4 linked regions of the Arabidopsis thaliana genome follow. The protein of the gene in region 3 interacts with the protein of the main gene of each other region in a pairwise test. Each region holds a gene or a part of one and is shown on either strand. Other genes may lie near its edges.

Evidence for each region.
Region 1: the proteins of MYB56 (region 3) and ESE3 interact in a two-hybrid assay, tested with the Arabidopsis thaliana proteins (one large-scale study listed by BioGRID).
Region 2: the proteins of MYB56 (region 3) and BBX31 interact in a two-hybrid assay, tested with the Arabidopsis thaliana proteins (one large-scale study listed by BioGRID).
Region 4: the proteins of MYB56 (region 3) and AT2G38300 interact in a two-hybrid assay, tested with the Arabidopsis thaliana proteins (one large-scale study listed by BioGRID).

What each region holds. Positions count from the first base shown.
Region 1 is NC_003076.8:8,704,982-8,710,530, forward strand, and holds ESE3 (Integrase-type DNA-binding superfamily protein), read right to left. Parts: upstream 2,905-5,549; 5' UTR 2,675-2,904; coding exon 2,592-2,674; intron 2,489-2,591; coding exon 2,026-2,488; 3' UTR 1,764-2,025; downstream 1-1,763.
Region 2 is NC_003074.8:7,707,588-7,713,286, reverse strand, and holds BBX31 (B-box type zinc finger family protein), read left to right. Parts: upstream 1-3,353; 5' UTR 3,354-3,623; coding exon 3,624-3,989; 3' UTR 3,990-4,454; downstream 4,455-5,699. Other genes in the region: BBX10 (B-box type zinc finger protein with CCT domain-containing protein), read right to left, coding at 5,194-5,323, 5,410-5,660. UniProt on the Arabidopsis thaliana protein: Developmental regulator acting by forming heterodimeric complexes, that sequester CO and CO-like (COL) proteins into non-functional complexes. Involved in the CO-mediated long-day flowering-promotion pathway.
Region 3 is NC_003076.8:5,873,983-5,880,902, forward strand, and holds MYB56 (myb domain protein 56), read left to right. Parts: upstream 1-3,130; 5' UTR 3,131-3,264; coding exon 3,265-3,646; intron 3,647-3,929; coding exon 3,930-4,355; intron 4,356-4,925; coding exon 4,926-5,089; 3' UTR 5,090-5,349; downstream 5,350-6,920. Other genes in the region: WOX12 (WUSCHEL related homeobox 12), read right to left, coding at 6,594-6,611. UniProt on the Arabidopsis thaliana protein: Acts as a cell-specific local repressor of quiescent center (QC) self-renewal by cell divisions in the primary root. Counteracts brassinosteroid (BR)-mediated cell division in the QC cells.
Region 4 is NC_003071.7:16,042,556-16,049,175, forward strand, and holds AT2G38300 (myb-like HTH transcriptional regulator family protein), read right to left. Parts: upstream 3,461-6,620; 5' UTR 3,125-3,460; coding exon 2,890-3,124; intron 2,739-2,889; coding exon 2,662-2,738; intron 2,539-2,661; coding exon 2,502-2,538; intron 2,415-2,501; coding exon 2,303-2,414; intron 2,182-2,302; coding exon 1,620-2,181; 3' UTR 1,393-1,619; downstream 1-1,392.

The sequences.
Region 1 (5,549 bases), 2.8 Mb from region 3:
ATATTCTATAAAAAGAATGGAAAACATACATTTTCATGTGAATCTGAATCGCTACTTTTTACCCATTTATTCTTTATTTGGTGAGTGCAGTGAAATTTTTATTGGGGCAATATAAAACCATCCTTAAAGGAAAAAAGGGTCACAGAAGTTCAAAGAAGTAATGATGAAGAACTCACAAGCATGCCCATTATTTTAAATTCTCTCCTTTGCTGCTTCAAAATGCTTTAAAAAAACAGAATAATGAGATAAAACTATACTTTTATAATTCCCTCTTCTTTATTTTCTTACTTTTTTAGAAAGTTTGTGGGGAAACAAAATCAATTTCCAAACAGGTACGTCGAATAATCATTATAAGGTTTATTCGATAGAGACCTCGATCCAAAAAAATAATATCACGTTGAGATTCTAATGTGTATCAAATAATATTGTTTTGACACATTTTGTCTCATATAACTGGTTATTTTCTTCTTTTACTTTATTTGTTGTTAATGGATCTCGGAGAATATACATAGTCACGTAGTCAATTTCCACTTGTTACCAAATCAACTGTGATCGCATGCATTCCTACGGAACTTTGAGTTAAATAGTTTGGAACATCTTTAAAAACTGTATTTCTTTCACCTCAAAAATTTACTTTTGGAATTAAATTGTAGAATTTATGTATGATAACAAAACAATATTTGAGAAATAATTGAGATTCTGTCATCTTAAACTTGAGAATAATGAAATCTATGTCTACAAACAAATTATCTGTACCATGCAAAGAAATCATCTGTAGATTTAATAGAAAATAGTTTTTCACGATTTGAAAAGAAACCTTATCAAATATAAGTGGTCATGCAATTTTGTGCTTGTAATTTGAGTAATATAGCAAGTTAATTTGAGAATGATCAGATTTGTTGTTTAAGAAAGAAAAAAACCTATAAGGATTATCAAATTTATTGTGTCGAAAAATAAATCATCTATTGCATGCAAATAATTAAGGTGGCAAGAAAATCTTTAAATCCAAATAATTCCTAACGTCAAATCATTTGTCTGCTGCAATTTAGATGCATTGCATGTGTACTGGTTATATCGCAACGAGCTTTAACCATATTGAATTGCCATTATTTAGCTATTTTGGCTTGTTGCTAACAACTGATATTATATTATCGCGTATATGTATGCAAGAAGAATCAACCGATCGTCAAGGATATATTAAAGCCTGCTCATGTTATGTTTTCCATTCTTTGCTAGAGAATATTTTTATTTTCGTATTCAACCTTAAGGTAGTAAATGTAAATCATATTTTGTTACAAAAGTTAAAGTAGTGGTCGGAAAACACTAGTTTCCTTTTATTCGCATTACAAACAAAACAAATAAATAATAGGTTTGGACTGTTCGAAGAACAGAGTGTTCTAAGGAAACAGAGTAATTGCAGTCAAACACCTATTTTATGTAGCTAAATTATTTTTTCTATTTTAATATAAGGTGCTAGAAAACACAAATCCCTCTAATTAAAAAGTTGGATTTTATGGTCGTCAAGCCACAGCTAGGGACACTCTTTTTCTACTTAGCAGCAATCCCAAATTACCAAAAATAAAAATAAAAAAATGAAGGCCCACCGTTGAAAAATTAGAACATGCATGGAACAAAACCAAAAGCTAACTCAAAATATTCAAACTCTCATCTCTCTTCACTACTTTAGATATCTTTCTTCTCATTGTTGTATCTTTTCACTACATTAAATTCCCACTTTTTCACACACGAACACATGTGTAATTTTTAGTTTTTGGTTTCAAGTGTTCAATTGGTTTACATGGAGAAAAATCAGAAAATAACATTTTTTTATAATACTATACATAACATAGCATATGATCGATTGCTCTTATAGAAACTAGAATCAGTGTTTCAAAAGAGGCCAATTCAGATCAAAATGTCTTGAAATTAGCCTTCTCTCACTACTACTCTCATCACTTACGACGCCGTTTTTGTGGAAACAAAAATAAAAATGAAAAGAATACGCTAAAACGACAAGGCCATTTCTCACAGCGTCTGAGTTGGTAAAACAGAGCAAAGCTCAATGGAACCGTAGTGAAGCAGCTCCTCAATCATTTGCTCGATATGATCTTCCTCCAATGGCCTAAAATTCTGTTGCATATTCGCATTTCCATCTTCCCACTTGATCTCTGTCGTCTCCGTTACTCCTCTGTTCAAATGACTTTCGTTAGCCGTCACACCGTCACTGTCCGCGGATTGTGATCTTGCGGTCTGCGTTTGCGTTTGTGTTTGCGTTTGCTTGGTCATTTGAAGAGAAGCCATGTAGCATTTGTGGAGTTTAGCGGTAAGAGTTGCTGATAGAAGCTTGGAAGAGGAAGTAGGAATGGCATTAGGGTTGTATGGGAAATTAGTACGAGCTCTCGGGCCACACATTAGCCTAGCCGCCTCGTCGTAGGCCCTTGCTGCATCCTCCGCTGTCTCAAACGTCCCTAGCCAGATTCTTGTTTTCCTAAAAAAAACAAAAAAAAAACAAAAAAGTTTAGCATTACTCAAATAAAAAGCGACCGAGGGTAATTTCGTAATTTGAGAGGATGATGAGGGAGAGTTTTTACAAGAGAGGGTGACGAATTTCGGAGACCCAAGAGCCCCAATGCCTCTGTCTAACGCCTCGAAAGCGTTGTTGTGGTCGTGCCATTAGTGTGAATGGTAAATGGAAATAGGGTTTCAGGTGAGTTTGGTGTGTTTGTGGAAATGTTTTGAAAGAAGAAAGAATGATGAGAGTGAAGGAGCGTTTTTGGAAGAGTGAAGGGTAGCTATATAAGTAGTGTTGGCTTTAGCTTCATGAGAGAGAGAAATGTTTTTGTGTTAAAATTTTCTTTGGCAATAAACTGGCAATCAATTTGGTCCTAAATTGGACCCACACCATTACCAATACGACTCAGAAAATCTCATGGATTTTGTTTGATGTGAGAGAGAGAGTTATATTAATTTATTTAACTTAAAGTATTCTTAAATTTACTTCATTTGTTGTATTCGAAGTTGCTGCGACATGGGCAAATGGATTATCTAATTCTGTCACATATTATAGTGAAAATTGAAAGCTTCGAAACTACATGCTAAACTGTCGGAAAAGTGTTTTTTTTATTTAGAGATATTTTTTGGAAAGTATTATCGTAATTTATCTAAAAGTTAAAATAGAATTTAAATTATGAATTAACAAACTTATCACAGTTTTTGTTAGAATACAAAATTACAAATGTTCAATAGTTTCATATGAATTTATTTCTGTAACAAAAGCTAATTTTTTATCAACAAATATAAATTAATTAAAACGGTTTAGAAATCAAACCTAAGATAATTTAATCCAAACCTTTTTCTTTTCCTTTTGTCCCAAGTTACACATATTATACTTAGACAATTATAGTTATAATATCCTAAGTTATGGGGTATTTTTAAGATAAAACTAATAAATAGCTCTAAATATAATAACAACCCTACGTATATAGCATATATATTTATCAATTATTTTAATTTTCCCATTGTGAACAAGTTGGATCCAAAGAGATTTGGCTGCGGTGAAACTTCAAACCCACTGTACCTATTTTCACATGGGTTTGATCATCACAACATGTCTCTATATCATAGATACTGCCAAATTTTTCCCCAACTAATTAATAATAACGATAAATAATTGGAAAATATATAGTTTGATAACTAGCGAGACTCTTTCATCACCATTCTTCACCCATGTGAGCCTTTGATAATGACTCAATCAAACACCCAAAACCATCTTCGATTATCATCTTCTCTTTTCCCTTCTTTAATATTATTTTGTATTGTTATTATTGAAACAAACCTTAATGTATTGTCATCATACCCATGATTTCTGAGTGTACAGTTTACCTACGAGTCTGCGACCTATTAAAAAAAAAACTCTAATACATTATTTTTCAATTAAAAACATAGGTTTAATAATTAATAAATATGTGATTATGCCCATTACTGAAACTTGGAGAGGGAATTAGTATAATATTGCATAAACTTATCTACAATTTTTAGATAGTAGTATATGTTAATTGTATAGGGAATGTCACATAGTAACCACTTCTTATTTGGGTTTATATATGGATGTTTTTGTTTGCCAATTTATCTTTTGTTCGACAAAGTTTCATCAAATAAAAGTAAAGGTTATGTCGATCATATTCAGTCGCACGCATATTTAAAAAAAAAATAATCTCCAATTGAGACTATATCCTTTTAGAGTCAATTATAATTGGAATAAGAGGTAATAGAAGAATATGTTGGGCAAAAGAGTGTGTAGGTAGAATGGATACATCAAAATAACAAGTGCCAAATATTATTAGTTCAATCCAGTATCAAATTGATGAAAGAATCCTAGACCGCAATTATGACGACAAGAAAAACAACTAGAGAAGGTCATTAACTTTTTATCAAATAATTGATCATTTTCACCCTACTAATAATCATTCTTAACCCTAATAATTATTCAACATATGCTTTTTTTTGTCTGTATATTTGCATCCATGTCCATAAGAAAACGAAAAAAAAGAAAGTAACTTATCTCTCTCGGTGGTGTAGTAAAAGAAGGATGGTACTGAATGCTAATATCAGCAAGTTACATAATGGAAATATATATGTACCTTTGAAATAACAACATTACTACAACTGTAATTTTAATTAAACAAAAATAATTTTGATATGTCTAACATATTCGCTTTTACTTAGGTAACTATTCTTTGTTTCATACGTGGTTTAATTGTATTGGTCGATCAAACAATATAGCAAAGCATGTGAGGGTGAGAAGCTAGCTAGCTATAACAAAGACTGTTTTTATTTTAAGTTGCATTGAGGATTTTGTCTCTTTGCTACTATTTTGGCACGTGTGAGTAGTGATGACTAATCTTCCAAGTTTCAACTAGTACCATACCTCTGAAAGAGAAAAAGTATTCAATATCTATCTCCCAAATGCATGGCAATGAACAACAACAAAATAAATACACAATGTTCATTAAAAAATAGATTAAACAAGGTATCATCCTTATAAATTGTAATTGAAGCAAATTTGTCAGATTTACACACACAAAATGTGCTACGGTTTTGCAACTCTTATAATATGAATTTAACAACTAGATCATTCGTTAATTATGTCTAGATTGTTTGTCTTTATAGCATAGAGGCTCATCATATGTTTGGTGACTCATATTATATAACTTATCTTAATTGTTTTTTTTTTTTTGTCGACTTGGAGATAATGAGAAACTCGAATATATACAATTATCTTTAACCATAAAAAAGGAAAACATTTAACAATTAGTGTTTTGGGACTACATACAAAGTTATGGGAAAATCAGACAAGAATTATGAATAAATATGAGTAGGGCCTAGGTCGTAAACGCGTGACATGGGACCCAAAACGACATAGATAAACATGGGTGATGAAATGGTTTTGATTGTGATTCATGTCCTTTTCTTTCATTCAGCTGTAAATTAACTATATATACCAAAATCAATCTATTTTAAAAATTATTTTAAATAATCACACTCATATA
Region 2 (5,699 bases), on a different chromosome or scaffold from region 3:
ATCTAAAATAGATGGTTTGGTACAGTTGATTTCGGTTCGGATTCAGGTTTTGGTCAAATATATTCTTAATTTACAAAGAAACTTTCTACATCAATTTTTTCTCTTTTTCGGTTTGGATTCGGAATTGGTTCATCGGATATAGAAAAATTGAATCCATTCGATCGGTTTTCCGATAAGTATTTGGGTTCAAACCCTTAAGCGGAACTATCCAATAATTAAATTTTTTTTATTAAAGGTAAGTTTGAGTAAAATAACCTAGCCAAGGAAAAATATTAAACTAGTGTTCTAACAACAGTCTAGGTAAGGTGGGTGTGTAGACATTAACGTCATACACTTGTTGCATCTTTTCCTATAAGCTTTATTTAATGAATGGAAGTTTTTCAGTGGTTTAAACGCTTGGGAACATATAATGTCTTAGACAAGTTGGAAGTGAGTGAAACAAAAATTTCTACTTGAGACCACAACTAGACAAGGGATTTTGTTTTGTTATCAAAGATTTTTTTTCTCTCTAATATGAACATTCTCTCACTTCTATAGGAAAAAAGAATCATTGCTCTTCCAAAGTCATAGATTAAACAGTTATTAATATCAGTGGAATATGTGTCAAGTTGACCATCTGGTTCTTCCATACACACCTTTTGTTTCATCATTTTTGAAGATGAATTTTTGATATAAGTTTCTTCATGTATCCAACTAATGTTTCTCTTAAAATTGCAATCTCTCGTATCCACTTTACCTTAACGATGTTTCTCCCAAACTTGTGATCATATATTTATATACACACTGTTTTGATTTCAAGACAATGATAGTATTTATTTAAGTTACTAATTCTAATTCAAAGATCTATTAGCTTTTTGGATTTTGTTGATGATAAATAAGTTATTACAATGGCCTTTTTACAACATACCCCGAACTCTATATATACTCTTTTTTTTTAGTCTATATATACTTTTATGTTAAATAGTTTGTTTCATTACATACTATATAGGCTCATATATAGCTTATATTTTTCTTGGACAATCGTTTTTACTAACGCAAATCGTTTAGACAACAAAATGATTTAGCATAAGATATCATATTCATATCACCGTCCAAGTTTCTTCAACTTCGATCAAAACTATAAAAAGATATTTTATAAACTAGCCAGGGTTATAGTTACGCGTATACATGCGTAAATGTGATAATATGTCCTACGTACCAACTAAAAAAAAATCTGAATATTAAAATTGCAAAAAAATAATGGTCACATACTTTTGGAAAGATTGGACGGCTAAGGTCTCGTACCAACAGGCAACAATAAAGAACAGACAGAAAAATCTGAGGACAAAATTAGAAAATAAAAAGCTTTTGGATTTTTGAACCAATATGATCCACACAAGTGGACTTATGCATCAACACTGAATCAACTTGTGGACAACAACAACATCACTTTTTTTTTCCATAACGTATCAAACATACAAATATAATAATATTTTCGTCTCATTATTATTTCAGTCCGTCTAATAAGTGTGCGTATTTTTGATCAGTCAATAATCCATACGACCCACTACTTTATCTTAAATTTTGTAGAGAAATGTCGTGGGTTTTTTTTTTGTTATATATATACTTTGTGTATGTAAAAAGTTAGATATATAGTCTTCATAAAATGGTATAAGACAATATGTGTATTTTCTATTCTGAGTAGAGTCCGCCAATACCCGATCTTACTTGTATTAGAGACAGAGTGTTACAGGTTGTGGTTTAACAGAAACCAGTTGGTTATGTACCGATTATATAATGAGATGTACATATATACTCTAGTCTTTCTATTTCTCAAGCTTTTATATTTCTTTCAAAAACTGAAATTTTTTTCTTCACATAAACATATTTGTAACCTACCTTTGATTCAGTATAACTTTCTGCATTATATCCGAATCGAAGCAAGATTGGAGGCATAAAGAACAACAACTCTAGTTGAACGTCCAAAATGGAAAATACCTACTCAAATTATATATTACATAATGTCAAGGTTTTAATTTGGTCTAATTAATCTTCAATATTAAACATATATATGCAGTTAAAAAATCTAATAACATCATTGAAGATATTTTTGATCATTTAATGCTTTATAATTATCTCTATCTTCACGTAAATTTTGTACTATTAGTAGAATTTAAGTTAACGAAATGTATGACTCCGATCATTACATGTCTAAACGATGGCGATAGATATGATGTGCTGCTATGTTTTAACCGATACGATATATTTTAGCAACAACGAATAACTATATTATAATTTTGGTTAAAGAGATTCAATAACATATTTTGCTAATTACTTTATTTTATTTCGTCCGAACTGTAGTATGTAATTAATCTTATTAGGTTGCTTTAACAATAGATTAAGACACTTACTAAATGAATTCACTATTTTACAAACACTGTTTACGAATAATGTGATGCTAACTACAAAATCGAATATTGTGACATTAAAATGCTTTTCGATTACTTATATACGTACTACTAAGCAATCACACGCAATGTATAGCAATTCAAAATAATCAAACCTTTTTAATTAACTGATATTATTCGTAATTCGTGGGGTAGCTTTCACTAATATTAAACAAATAAATGACTAATAAATCAACCCAAAAAAAAATCTTTAAATGTGAACCATACAAGTGAAGTCCTCTTTGCTTGTTCTGATAGTAAGCTTATATAATTAATTAAGAGTTGACTGACTAACAACCACACAATGTCCCAAAGACAACCAATAACAACGATACTTGATATCACCCTAAATTCTAGCCGTTTCTTATGCGTACCCCCTATCCTCCACTAATCACTTGTAGTATCTTTAATTTTTTTCTCTAAACAATCCCTTAATTATTTTAGAAAATTCTGTCACAAATTTCAATAGGAAAATGAAGGTGTGCTAAGAAACGAATGATAATATATGCCGGTTTTTTTTATCCAACTAGTTCTAGAACCTTAAATATCATGTAAATGTCTCAAAATTTATACCTTGGAAAAAAAGAGATAAACTACACGACTATATATGTTTTCGCTTTGGACAAGGAAACTCCATCGTAATTAACTAAATTCGCAATCATTCATATTTGTTTATAGAATCGATTGTTTGTTAACCTTTCGGTGCATCTATTAAAATTTTAAATTCTCAATAGTTTGGTTTATCGTACACCGTAATCACATTACAATAAGATACATATAACATCATATCGTACAAAAAACAAAAAAAACAATGATTCACATTGAAGTGGTGGGTGATATAAACCAAAAGAAGTCGTACTAGAGGTTTGTTTCGATTTGCAAAAAAAAAAAAACGGAGTTTGTTTCGAAAATTTTAAAGTTGTGCGTCCAATATGAGGTCGAGAGATCGCTTGGAGGAGAAGCGTTTTTAATTTTGAAATTAACGATTTTGCCCTCATAAGGGCATTTACGTCAAAATAACAGGGCAAGATTCATCCACGTGTCCAACAACAACACAACACAAACACATCATTAGTTTTAAAGAAATAAGATTCCTATATAAATGTATAAACGTTTCTCCTATTCCCAAATCTTCTTTCCTCAATATCACCCAGAAGAAAGAGAAAGTGAAACAGATCAAGAAAGAGATTGAGAAAAATGTGTAGAGGCTTGAATAATGAAGAGAGCAGAAGAAGTGACGGAGGAGGTTGCCGGAGTCTCTGCACGAGACCGAGTGTTCCGGTAAGGTGTGAGCTTTGCGACGGAGACGCCTCCGTGTTCTGTGAAGCGGACTCGGCGTTCCTCTGTAGAAAATGTGACCGGTGGGTTCATGGAGCGAATTTTCTAGCTTGGAGACACGTAAGGCGCGTGCTATGCACTTCTTGTCAGAAACTCACGCGCCGGTGCCTCGTCGGAGATCATGACTTCCACGTTGTTTTACCGTCGGTGACGACGGTCGGAGAAACCACCGTGGAGAATAGAAGTGAACAAGATAATCATGAGGTTCCGTTTGTTTTTCTCTGATTATTAGATTTTTTTGGTGTAAGCTATAAATATTCTAGGGTTTTTATGCAATTTTCTTTTAAGAAAAATCTGAAAATTTTAATTTTATGAAGCTTAGAATTTTAAGAAATGTGTAATGAAAAAAAAAAAAGAATTTTAAGAAATGGGTAGTGACTAAAAATAGCAAAAAATATCTGCAATAGAAAGGGAAGAAACAAGGATCGTTTGTTGTTATTGAGTTATTCTTCGAATCTTTTGCTTTTTTCTACTAAGCAATGTTTGTAACCAACAAACAAAAAGTTCCATAAAACTGCTGTAAAAAAAAATTAACTCACCAAACTCTCTGTTTGGTATTTTGTTAGATATTTATTTTAGTGTAGTAAATCTTTCTCACTACTTCTTTGGACTTGTCATTTTCCTTAATTTAAAGGTACATAAAAGCAACTCCAGCCTTGTATTCTTAGCAATAAAAGTGATTAAATTTAATGAAACAACAAACCTTAGCTAAGATAAACATCTTAATTAAGATGTTTTCTTAAAACTAAGAAGAGTATATGTGTTGTATTTTGAGTGGATAGACATTTTTGAATTGTTGTTTTTTAAGAATCCAATAGTTCTTAACCATTGAAATAGAAATTAGTTAAACTTCCTCCTAACTTTTCTTAACTTAGTAAAAACAACATTTTAATTTAAAATAAGGTTAAGATTCAAAACTAAGAACCAATTGGTTCTAAACCAGTGGGGTAATAACTAAACTTTTTGCAAGTGAAACATCTTCATAATGCAATGCTTAATAAGTAGAGAATTGTTCTCTTGAAACACGTTAAACGCGAGCTCTGTAATGGAGCAGATTGTAATCACTGCTACTTTATTATTAATAAAAAAAAAAACAGCTAGGAAATTTATTTATAAAGAGATAAATTAGGATTTGTCCTATAAAAGGAAAAACCCAACTTAAAAATAATCAAAAACAAAAGAGATTCTGTAAATAAAAGAAGTTACTAAATAATTTTCACCATTTTGGCTTTCCACCAACTTTATTTAGTTCTCCAACGTTCCCATGCCTCAACATGTTGATTTCTTCGATTCACAAAAACTATACACAATAAGACAAACAATACATTACTTTCCCGACAAGAAACTGTTTTTACCAACCTTTATCATCATCATGAAGCATGGTTTAAGTCTGTTTGGGAAAGAAGACTGTACATTATTTTTGTAAATTTCAATTGTTCGTCGTCGGTGATGATGGATCATAATCATAACTGTCACCAGCTTTCACAAATCTTCCTTTCACTCTTTTCCTCGTGTCAGCTCTTGCTTTGCGAGATGCATATCGAATCTGTTTCCCAAAACTACAATTAAAAAAAAAGAAAAACACCATTAAACCTGATCCAAGTTGGTATAAACTCTGTTTTGTAATGATTAGTAATAAACTTACGAGCGCTTTAATTTCTTCTCCTTGTATCTCAACTTAGCCTCGTTTCTTGCTTGTGGACAACTAACTTCAAAATTCGTTTCCCATGGCGCTTCACTCATTATAAACCCTGGAGACATCCCACAATCCTGGTAATCAGCTGCATTGTTTTCACCAGTGATGTTAAGAGATGGATGGATTTGTCCGAACAAGACAGGTGATAGAGGAAGCTGAAGTCCAGTGTTGATGTTCATTTGCTGACCTGGTGGCGATGCCTGGAAACAGAATAACACAATTTATATTAGAAACTTTCT
Region 3 (6,920 bases):
AATTCAATTTTAATAAAGAGACTTTATGTCATTACATCATGAGATAAAGCCCTAAATTCCTCAAATTAGTTAAAGTGTCTTCTTTAAAACTAATCAAGAAGTTTTAAAGAAACTTTTTCTATGTTAATGTAATTAGTGTGACTTATCTCATGAATCATGATTATCCGAACATTATTTTAGCGCTTGGAGTTTCGAAGTTACCTTTTCTCGCCACCTTTTGTTTTCTGGGTCTATTGAAAGATTGTCTCAAATTTTAAAAGGATAAGAAAAACACAATTCCATTAACTTTAATCGTACAAGTGAGAGTGTTAGAAATTGTGGTTAAACAATGATCAATAACCACTAACCATTTCGTAAAATTCACCGACGACTTTATCAAATGACGAACATGATCCGATGGATCCACGAACTACCGAAAGAGAAGTAACCTCAGAACTATGTAGAAAAAGCAATCCTATTATTCATTCGAACTAATTCAATATGCAGCTAGTTTTTTGGTCTAACGACTTCTTATCGTACCATTTTTCATCTCTTATCATTTTTACCATATTCAACCATACCACCATTTTTATCACTATTTTGTACAGTTACAAAGCTCTTACCGTCTTGCGCTATTAATCGGACCATTAAACAACTTCACATAAAATTTTATATTAGACGTTTGAATTTAAGTCGAAGTTTTGATAATCTTAAATGTAACCCCTAAAATACAGTCGATAGTATTTGATGAAACAACTCCCTCATTAAAAATCGATTACTTTTATAAAATAGCTGTAAAATAAATGGCAACCCAAACGAAACAAAAAATATCTATCCCCCGAAACATATTACATATACTCCACATCTTTCATATATGTTTGTTTATCGGTATGTCTTTAATATTATCTCTTCTTACCCCAAAATTATACAACAATCTTTCAAATTACAGACCACTTTCATGGTCGTTGGAAAAAAATAATTCTTCCATAGTCGAGAATATGATTTGCAAAAATGTTATTAAATAATAATCATTCAAAGTATCTTAATAAAAAAACAAAAGAAAAGTGGAATTGGTCCATAACGGTTCGGGGAACTTTTCTATGAACCGGAAACTGAAATTCGTGAGGACGGTACACGTGTTAGGTAAGAACACGATCCGCTCGTGTGTAACAGCCAATGATGTCGTCATTCCACGTCGGTACAAGACTTTTTTTTTGTCGTCAACAGAAGATTTCAAAATTAACGAAACCGTTCCCATAACCGAAACTCACATAAAAACAAGACACAATAAATAAAAAACTTTAGGTACTTTTCTGTCGTTTCTTTGGTTTCTAACGTCTATTCGTGTTATATTTGTTTTATTCTTCATTTATTATTGTTGAATTTAATTCTAGTTCGAGTTCAGTTACATGATTTCTCTCTTTAATCTCTAGTATTTTAATCCATCAAAATTATGTGGTTGCATACTCGATCGAGTTTAGTACAATTACTAAAATATGTAGCTTTGTTTAGTCATATCAAGACTATAGTAAGTTGTTACGCATGAAAGATAATTATTACATTCAAACGAATGACCACTCAATTCTTATATCAAAAAGATACAAAAAACTAAAGTCTACAACTTATAGGTTCAATGGGAGCATAAATAGTCCATATCATTGAATAATAATGGTCTTCAATAGAGTTGGTTGTTCAATTATTATTTTTGGTTTATAAGAAATGAATTGAACTTTTGTTTGTCACCATTCACATTTTCTTCTCTTTTTTGTACTTTTAGTTTTCCTAAAAATTAAAAAAACTATGTTCCCTTCGTACCTAAAACTTACTTTAAAATAACCAATTTGATGATAGTTTTTTTTAAAAAACTTCAACAAAGATTATATATTTCATCCTGAAACAAAAATTACAGCAAAATTTAAATTTAAACTAGTAGCAAAAAATATAGGATGTGCATATGTTTTCTGTTTGCCACGTCTGTTTTCCATTAAATGTACGCACAACATTGTTTGAGTTCAATTAACTATTTAAGTAATAAACAAAAACAATGCTTGAATTTCACTGAATATAGTATATAAGTAAAAATGTATACACCCCAAACGACGTCGAACCCATCGTTCAAAAGATATTGAAGTACTTGAACTAGTTGTTGAGCTAATCATCATATTACTTTATAATTTAACTACACAAAACGAGTTCTTTGAAAGATGCGAATATATATATACACACTTATACGTTATGGAGAGAACAGAAAGCTCATAAAAGCAATTTATTTCTCTCCCTTTAAGATCTTTTCTTGCTTTGTGTCCGAAACAGACAAAAATTGATTCTGTTGTTTTTTCCCATAATTAACTCACACACACACACTTAACGTACGTGCAATATCTGTATGTGTGCATAGTATATACTATAGCCACACGAGCGGTTCAAAAATGTTTTTTGGAGTTTCCGAGACTGTTGAGACTGTGGGGCCTATGGTCATCGAACCCTCCCACACGCACGAGCGGGTCTCGTTTTGCATGCATCTACACTACACGTACCCACCGACTTTTCCAAATCCCTTACTTTTGCACGTGTAGAGAGAGAGAGCTTTGTACTGAAAGTATCTCATTATTCGAAATTTTTCGTGTAAGAGTAAAAACTAAATCGCAACGTACGTGAAGGAAAACGTGAACCTTGAATATTTAATGTTTTCGTGCGGTTTCATTTTAACTATTTAATTAACACAATATTAGTACAATAACAAGCAGCTCTTATGAAGATAGTGATGAAAAATTGTTATAGATCTATCTTGGAATTTTAATGATCGAATTTCGATTTTGTACGACCACCATCGAGGCATCGACTATAAATATAGTTAAAATGTGGTTGCTGAAAAAAAAAAAAAAATGATAAATAAAATGAAACCGCACGTAATTGTATAAAACCATTAGCATGGGATTATTAGGCCACAATTTGGTAATTAACACTTGTAATTCATTTGAATATGCTTTTACAAAACTTTCCCTTCAATTTCTTTTGGTGTGTGAATAAACAGCTATCAATTTTGTTTTTCATGTACATTAAATAACCACTCTGCACTCATCATCATTTTCTAAAATATTCTTCTATATATATTAACTAGCTTGCAAATAAATGTAAATAAAAATATAAATTTCAATAATTTTTTTTAGAGAATCTCTCTTTCCTCTTCCACCATATAAACAGTGAAAAGCCATTCAAGTGCTCTCTCCCTCTATCTCTCTTCTATTTTTAGTTTCTCTTCCCTTAATCCCTAAACCCAGAAACATGAATCCAAATCTCCTTGAGAAAGATCTAAGAGGTAAGGAAACTACAAATGGGTCAATAAGATACAAAGAAGCAAACAACTTCAGATCTCTACCAAACTCACACACTGCTGCTTGTAAAACTTCACTCAACAACCCCTCTATCTCTAGAAACCATCCTCACAACAAATCAGCCTCAGTCTTGGAGTCGGAAGATGAACATGGGAACGAGAGAGGTGAAAACGAAAAGAGTTTAAGAATGAGGGGCAAAAGTGGAATTAACACAAAAGTATGCTCACGAGGACACTGGAGACCAACAGAAGATGCTAAACTCAAGGAGCTTGTTGCCCAGTTTGGTCCCCAAAACTGGAACTTGATTTCTAACCACCTTCTTGGTAGATCAGGTACATTTATTTTACTTAAAATTCTTATTACTTAATTATTTCCTTCACTTTTGTTACTCCAAATTCCGCAAATTTAACTATTTTTATGTAGAAGAAAAATAAGTAAATATATTTAAAAACTTTGGTGAGTTGAGTTTCCAAAGTTATTAGGCATTTTCGTAATTGTGTTTGGATTTTTTTAAAAATAGTTTTTACAAGTTAGACTAAGTTGTATAAGGCATAATGACATAATGCTTGATAGTAACTAATTTTTATAATGTGAGGGACACTTCTTTGACTACAGGCAAGAGTTGTAGATTGAGATGGTTTAACCAACTAGACCCAAGGATTAACAAGAGAGCCTTCACGGAGGAAGAAGAGTTTAGGCTGTTAGCAGCTCATCGAGCCTATGGCAACAAGTGGGCTTTGATCTCTCGTCTCTTTCCAGGTCGTACCGATAACGCTGTCAAGAACCATTGGCACGTCATCATGGCTCGACGGACTAGAGAAAGCCAAAGACAACGTCAACAGCCTCCTCCGACGTTGTCAAGAGACGCTGAAATGACGGTTTCGTCCTCTTGCCGCTACAATCAAGGTAAGTTCATCAATGAAGAAGATGACGACGACGATGTGTCAGCTGTCTCTACTTGTACGACGGAGCTCTCTCTCACTCCGCCTTCTTCAGCTTACCAGCCTCGCTTCTTTAATTACGATAGTACCCTTGCATCAGGTAACATTTTATTTATTTGCTTAAATATTATGTTTACTATGTTTTTTTTTTTTCTCTATTGAAAATATATTATTTTCATGACCCAAGACATTAAAAGTATAGAAACTTGGAATGTTTTTTTTCGTTTTCGGCTTTCTTGAGAAGTGTTTTCGTGAATCTAACTATAATGATCTCGGTCGGTTGGTCGAGATCGTATTGCAATCTTTATTGGGTGTATCGTTGATCATGATCGGTTTATACTTTAACCGGTACTTCCAAATATCATTTGTGGTCTAAATTTAGCTTATTAGATTCCAGTCTTGTTAATTTTTGAATGTTCAAAGCATATAAAATGATAATTTAGGCCGACATGTTGTATAACCGACGACGAGTGACCACTTCCTACACTTTTTCATATACATGGCAATAATTATAAATTTGAATGACTAGAAAAGAAAGAAACTGTTTTTACATCGTAAGAGTACCTATAGGCATAATAATATAAGGAGGTGAAGTACTATTGTCACGTTACTATTTCAATATAACAAAATTTCACGTGGGTGCTGAGAACTTATTTTTCTAATTTTGCAGGCAAAGATGGTCAGTGTGTGCAGAGAGCAGAAGTAAATGGCATATATGGTAAAAAGATGGACCATCAAAATCACCACACAATCTCAGTCAGTGAAAGAAAGGTGGAGATGAAGATGAGGAGTGGCTATTACTACTTTGATTTTCTTGGAGTTGGAGCTTCCTGATTAATTAGTTGCAGAGCTAGGGTTCAATGCTGAGGAATTGTGAGATAAGAAATGGCTTTAGTTTCTTCTATTTTTCCTGGTTAATTAGGCATGTTTGTTTAACATCTTAATTTGGGTTTTGGAAGAAGTAAGCGGTATGAGGGAAAACTGAAAACAAAAACAAAACCTAGAAGTAAAATAAAAAGTTGAATATATAATCAACCTCTTTTCTGTAGAATTAGAATAAGTGTTCATAAAATATTGCAATTTTCCTTACTCACACACGCAAATTTAACATAGATTATGAAACAATAGCAGTAACTAAAACCAGCGAGTTATTTTTGTTGGTAAATTACAAGCTTTGATCATAAACCTATTGCATTTTATAGTGCATTACATGAAGGATGTTATCTGCTATTTTTGGAATGTCACATATATAAATAATTCAGGAATTTCTAAGTAAATAATCAACGTGGGAAATGAGTTCTTGTTTAAATTTAAAATCTCAATTACTCGGCTCGGCTCGGATCCCTATTATCGGATACCAGCTACATTGTTAAGTTGGGCCTAGGACTACAAAAGAAACCCATATATAGACGTACCTTTCATTTACAAAGGGTCCAAAAAGCTCACATAGAAGTGGGCTTACTCGTTTCTTGTCGTAATTTTGAACTTAACCCTACCCTTCTTTCTCTGTTCAAAAAAAAAAAAAAAAAAAACCCTACCCTTCTTTCATTATTATATCAAGTTCACAAAATTGACATCCCCAAGAAGAAAAAATGGTAACTAGCGATCTGTGTCGAGTACTGTATTTGTACTAGTGTACTTTACAAATTGCTATTCATATATAGAAATATACGCACTTTGTTAGTGATATGATTATGATTCGCATTTAAATCATTATATTTGATTTTTCTGTTTAAAAAAAAAATCATAATCATATTACTTACACACTTTACTTTTGGCTCTCTCATTCCGTCATTCATTTAGTTCTTTTTGTTCGTTTAATTGTTCACTTGGTTAGTTAAGAAATTAAAAATGTTCACTTGATAAGATATGTTAAATGTTATCCTCTAGGATAAACAGAAATAATAATCCTCGATCGAGAATGGTATAAAGTACCTTAATACCTTTCATCCATTGGATAAATAGATTAGATCAGCTATGTACTAAGATGATCTATTTACATCGAAAAATCAAGATTTTTGTACATACCAGTTTAATTTTTTGGATTATCTTTAAATATATCAAGTCCGAGGGACATCTTTTTTCCACAAACTAGATCTCTAATTAAGATTTGGCTGTGGAAAAAAAAAATATTAAGATTTGGCTTGTTTTGATAGATAAGGTTTGTGTTCAGGCGAGCAAGAATCGACAAGAAAGCAAAATATCTGACGAGTCCAACATTTATTTAATCTTTTTATTATTACTTATTTGTAATCTAATTATACACGATAGACACGAAATCAATAGAGGTAAAAAAGAAAACAATCGACCGTATATGTTCCCACATAAAACAGCCAGTTCATGTCTGTCTCGGTACCTGTCGATGACAAAAGGAAAACAAATAAAAACAGATTCTTAATTAGGGAATAATTAGAGCATTTTAATTCTTAAAACTGCTAGTTCACTAATTACTGATAATATTGAAAAATGAAAACCCTAACGAGAAATGGTTTAACATCATTTTATATATCCACCGTCTATTCTTTTTTCTTCTTTTTTTGAGCAAAGACACCGTCTATTCATTTGCCAAGAGAGAATATAAATTCCCAAGGTCTCTTCGACCAATGAACTCAATATTTTACAAAATTACTCAAAAGTGGAGTTATTGGTTCTTGTGTTTTTGGCT
Region 4 (6,620 bases), on a different chromosome or scaffold from region 3:
TACTAGGAGAAAGAATATAAACATATAAAAACAATATAGGAGACAAATTTGGTATACAAAAAAAAAAAACAAATTGGGATAAGATATGGACCTTGGTTTTTATTTATCTTATAAGTCATTGCAAATTTAATATTTTTTGAATGAGTTAAATTTAATATCTTATAAGGAAATCGATCCGTGTATTGCGAAGACTAATTTGGCAAAAAGATTACCTACTTCAACTGAAGATATTTAGTCTTAAAAATCATTAAAAGTAAATAAAGAGGGACATTAGAGGTACATATAAAGGGATACAACATTAAACGTTATGTTTACACCCCTTTTTAACCACTAGGATACTTTCACTTCATGCATCTTATTTTTAGCCCCAAAAAACACTTATATAGTTTCAGAAATTAGTTTAGATTCTGAGGTGGATAAGTTAATTCTCCAGTAGCAAAATAAAACTGATCGTGCGGCCATGTTTGATAATGAAGTCTGAAGAAGTTGACCAGGTACACACACGCATCGAATGTTTAAGAAGCAAAGATTCCATTTGTTTGTCTAAATATCGAAACAGTATCAGTGTATCCAATCAAACTAACGGAGATCCTAAGTTTCTTGTTTTTTCTTTTTGGAAAATCAAAATTGATACTTGGTCGAACGTAGTATTTGGCACGTCGAATCAAAATTATACAACAGTCTCAACTCTCAACGTTACTATTAACGACGTCATTATCGTATTGACGTATAGGTGCCACCATATTATACAATAAATTATTAGAGATTCAATAAGATTCATGTTCTTAGAATCGACTGATTGAACGAAAATTTTACCGGGAAAATTTTACACAGTTGAAATAAGTTCCCTATCAAATACTATTAAACATTAATTTTTGGTTTGCAACTAATCACATCCTTATACAATAAACATTTCACGAGATAAAATTTTATATAGAATAATGAACTCAAAAGATTTGATGATTTGTGAACTTTTTCTATGTTTTTTTTTGTATTATGATCTTTAACCTCTTTAATATTTACAAAGAACGAGGTGTGTCTTGTTGTTTAAGTATTAATCTTGTTCACATATAGTAAAAACCTCAAAAATAATTGGCTTCGGATTTGCATAGTGTAAAATTGTTTCACTATGTCTCTGAAAAGGGAAAAATGAGTGAAGATGGATTTTGGAAATTATTGAAAACACTACTATTAACTATAACATGTTTTGGAACTACAAAATTGTCCATGTACTGTTCGGATAAATACGAAACCAAAATTTTTGTACTATTTACGTAAAAGTCTCATCTACAAATGAATGAAGCTCACCAGCAGAGATACTCTAATCGATGTAAATTTGTTGTTATATGTATATGTAATTTTCATATAGTATATTGCTATGAGAAGACAAAAGATCGAATCATTATGATGTGGCTAGTAATATTTGTTTATATATGTGATGATACAAATTGGCGGTATCAAACAAACTCAAGACCGTTAATATAATCAAACATTTTTGTTTCCTTTCTAATAATAAAGAAAATACATGATTAATGATAAACAACAACGACACTGAATATTAAGATATCGGTAAGTACCTCAAGATCTCACTTAGAATTTGTCTCATTCTTAAATATAATTCATAGAGTCAGATCCAGAGTACTCTCCTGACCAATCTTAACCGTCCGATCCTCTTCATCTTTCATCAGTCGGCTCTTTTTCCACGAAGACGACCCTGGACATAGCGACAAGGACAACGTTTGATCCGTTGTTGTTGCTGCTGTTTCTGTCTCTTCCAAAATTGTCTTCTCCGGTTGTCTTAGCTTAAGAGATAGATCAAGATCAATGCTCCTACTTGCGTCTCTTTTGCCATTTGTCTTGCTACAATAAGAATGATTAGTGTTCTCCTCAACACCGTTATGGAACTTTTGAAAAGTTCTTGAGTGTCCTTGAATGCTGTTGAATGTGACTGAATTGGTCCGTTCGTGATGATCGTGTCGTAGTTTCGGAAAGTGATTAGAAATTGAAGAAGAGTAGATGTTTTGGAAAGACTTGTTGTTAGTCCAATAATCACTACCACGGATGTTATTGCTAACCGACGCGTTGCGGATTAAACCGGGCCTAATTTGGTCTATCAAACTCCTTTCTGTTCCTTGAGAGCTAGAGTTCCACAAAGAAGCATTTGAAATTTTACTTCCATATCTACCAAAAACAAAAGAAGACAATTAATTTAGTTTCCGAATAAATATAATTAAAACGGAATATCATTCAAATTAAGGAACACATAAAATCTAAAATTTTCAAAAAAAAAAGTTATATCAACCTGAATGGAGAATCATGGTTATGATTATAGCCTCGGAACATCGGTAGCTGACTTAGTTTATAAATATTTCGATCTGTGGAAGTCTCGAAGAGATGTTTGTGACCAGCTATAGCTGCCAACAATTCAAACCCCACTTTATTGGCCTATACATGTATAACTTGATAACTAACTAATGAACACAAATAGAAAGAATCAATACCTTGACCTTGATCATCTATCTTCTTGCTTCTGTACATCTAAAATTTTCCAATACACAATTTAGTGATTTCTTTTTTTTTCTAATTTCAGAGATTATTTGAAACGAAATCGAAAATACAACACATATATAGGTACGTTTTAGATGTATGTAGATCAAATACCTGTAGATGGCTCTTGACATGAGCAATACTAAGCCCTTTGATGTTCATCATCTGACGAACCAACTTTGGAGTTGCTCCTATACATAACCAAACATACACATTAAAAAAAAGAAAATCACATGAGGTTTTGACCAAATAGTTAACCTAAGAATAACTAAGAAATTGCTTATGCTTTTATATATATGTGGAGGAGGTGATGAAAGATGAAGTTAGTAGCTATGGACGTACTTTCTTGACCTCCAAGCCTCTCAACGGCGCGGACAAAGCGAAGATGAAGATCAGGAGTCCACCGGAGTCGAGGGACTTTAGATCTCACATAAGGCCTAACCTTAGTCTTCTTGTCGCTCTCTTCCACTGTACTATTGCTTGAAACCTTACTCTCTTCACCTTCTTCTTCTTCTTCCTCTTCCTCCTCCTCTTCTTCTCTGTTAGTCTTCCCGCCTCCCTCCATACTTGGAATCATTATTACTTCTGATGTTACAAATTCAGAAGAAATATAGAAAGAAAGTGGTAAACGATAGAGAAGTTCTAGGCTTAGCTAGATATAGGTTTTGGACGATATGGATAGATCAATCCTTTGGTTTGATATGAAAGAGATAAAAGACCAGATGAATTCTGCTTAGTTCAAAGCATGGAGATTTTGTCTGTGAACCCTAGATCAAGATACACTTCTGATTCTCTCTCTCTCTCTTCCCGGAACATGTAGACAAACCCTCACCTAAATCTTGTTGCATATGTTAAAAAGTTTTCTTTTCTGTTCACAGCTAATTGATTTCGGCCCTTTTCTACTATAGACAGCTCTATATATAAATAGTTGTATATTTTAATATGTGGATGCATATTAATATCAACCATGGAGGGAGAAAACTATTACTCCTATAAATGAGATAAATTGTTGTTTATACCCTTAACATGCCAACAAATTACAAGTAACACTTATTCTATATTATTGTTCACCAAAGGCTAAGATGAGTGTGATAGAAATTAGGCTCTATATATAGCATATTCTTAGTAGTCTTAGATTGCCTTAGTTCGTCAAACAAACATTTCGATTACAAAGATCGATATAGATAAAATTCATGTATCGGGACTAACAGTCTATGAATGAATTAGTTAGTATAAGTAAGACTATTTACAACAACAACAAAAAAAAAAAAAAAAAAAAAATTAATAATTATAAGAAAATAAGAAAGATATTAGTATAGTTGAGACGTTATTTGAGTTTAGAAGAAAACAAAAAAATGAAGAATTTTAAATTTTTTGATACCGTGATGCAGTTTCCAGGAAAAATAATTAAATACAAAATCGAATTCACAAAATTATAATATACCTCAGAGTAGTTTTGTCGGAATTAGGATCATTGATGATCGAGATCATTGTCTTTTTCTTAAGACATTTGGTTTAAAATTAATGTTAACTAAACTTTCTTTTCCTTCTGTTTTTCTTTTTGTTGCAAAATAATTTTTGATCCTCAACGATTTAAAAGATCCAGTACGTGACATGAATCAATTTATACAAAATATTAATTTATCGAAGTGAACTATACTTGATGGATTTTAAATCCTCTCATTTCTATTGATATAGCGATCAAATTAGTTAGAAAATTTATTTTTAAAATCAACCTTCTAATCTTCTGAGTACTTTTTAGTATTTAGAAAGTGATAAATCACAATACTAACTAATATATTGATTAATGGGTAGATTCATATATATTTATCTTTAAAACTTTTTGATGAGATTATGAGGTTTAGGGTTTTGCGTGGAATTGAATGCTAAAGGCAAAAAATGGAAGAGCGAGAGTGGTAGATAGACGAATAAATTACGATTACAAGGCGTGTGACTGCTCAGCTGTCTTTGATGTAGACCACATCATCACACATACCTCTTTCTTTCTTTCTTTTTCTGTTTTTTGTTCGACGAGAATCACGGGACAATGCTCCTCTCTTACCCCAAAATTATATATTATCTTTATATGTATTTTTGTAGATTCGTATGAGAGAATTAGTTTATGTGTAAAGTGGTCCTTGCTTGGTTTACGTTACACATCCGACCCCGTGAAGCGATGAATAGCGTTGTTAGTTGAGCCGTTTTTTTACATCGTTCGTTCCAAAAATATGTAATATTAACATACATAGTTATAAAATTTGACACCGTATAAATCGAAGTCCTATATGGTTTAATTTTAATTGCAAAGAAAGTCTTTTTAGACGAGTTTATGGTGATTTTTGTAATTACGATTTTAGTCATCGTAAGCCATTGAATACTACCTCTTCCGCATATTTCGACAATTAGTTTGAATATTTACCTTTACCACTTCTATTATGAAAACAATAAGATAAATACATTCTCACGTATATATGCTTATGATATAATATATTTTAGATCCAATTATGCTTTCGAAGTCCTCTTGGAATTCCAAGAAATATGAGCACTCACAAGATCAGTTCTATTAACATGTCTAACAAATTGTACTGTTTTATTTCTACGTAAATTTCAATCATAAGTTTTTGGTGCATCACGAAAACAATATACAATACTGTTTTCCAGTTGTATATATCTACTATAGATTCGGGTACATGCCATCCAATAAAACTTCGTTGCAGAATTAAATGGAGATTATGAGTTCATGAGATTAAACTATAGGCTTAAGTTCATATTTTCCAGTTAGTAAATAAAATTCTGCTAGCCAAACAAAAAAAGTTGTTCCCTACCAAAAAAAACAAAAAAAGTTGTTGAGGAGAGGAAATTGTAAGCTTTGATGAAGTAGAAAAAAGAAGAACTTTGTCATTCCCCCCACGTGTAAAGAGACTTGCCATCGATCCTTCACAAGCTTCTCGTCACCACTCCTTTCTTCTTTACACTTAATTTCCATCTTCCTTCTGCTTCTACACGTCCACATGCAATTTTGCACCGAGAATCCTAATTTGTGTCCTTCATTTTAAAGGTTTAAAAAGCATGTTTATAAAAACATGGAACTGGATGGTTTGTGAGATATGCCATCAAATTAGACAAAAGGGTCCATTAAGCCTGTGAAAAAAAAAGAAAAAAAAAACTAAGAGACGATCATAAGAGTTAGGTGTGACCTGACAAGATTCTTGTACACCCGAACCCGACTTGTGAACTGTGAAGTCAACCTCTAATTAACAGTTATTTTTTATTCCTACAAATACGGATCCAACATTATTCTCAATTAGTTGAAGTAATGTCTGTCTATTTGCACATTTTCAAACCCATAATCAAACAAAAGTTACATATCCTGACCCGCTGACCATATTATACACTCATCTGTGTATATCTCAAATCTCACTTGCAGGTAATTCTCTCTAGTACTTTTATGTAGATATATAGATATTAGTAGAATGTTAGCAAGAAAAGATGTAAAACATATATATCAACTATATTAGAACCCGTCCTTTGTGCGAGTTTTTGATTTTTATGATAATTTTAAGTTAACAAAAACTGAATTAATTTTGCTTTATATATTAAGATGTGTGTGAAGCTCAATACACAATATTAATCTATTCTTATCAAAAAAATTTATATTCAAAATTTACAGCAATTATAAAGAACTAATAGCATTGTATTATGACTTATCATTAAGATGGGGTTTGTGTCCATGTCCGGAGTTGTTAAAGGTTTGAAAACCCAGAGTTATGAATGTAAAGAAACAAGACAGAATGCTTGAAAACAGAGCATCAAGTAAATGTTTTGTGTTTATATTATTATGCAGCTAAAATGGAACCGGTGACGGCATTCCAACTTGGCCAATGGATGTCTAGACTCGCTATATTCTTCAAGGCAGACGACACATTCTTCCCCAACCTCGAAATTGAATTCCTCGACGGCAACAAAAATATATCTTCGAACGTTTTGTTGTGTCTGATCAGCCAACTCCACATCTTTAGGTAAACTCTAATATCCTAGAGAATAATAGAAATCTATAATACTAGTTACAATGT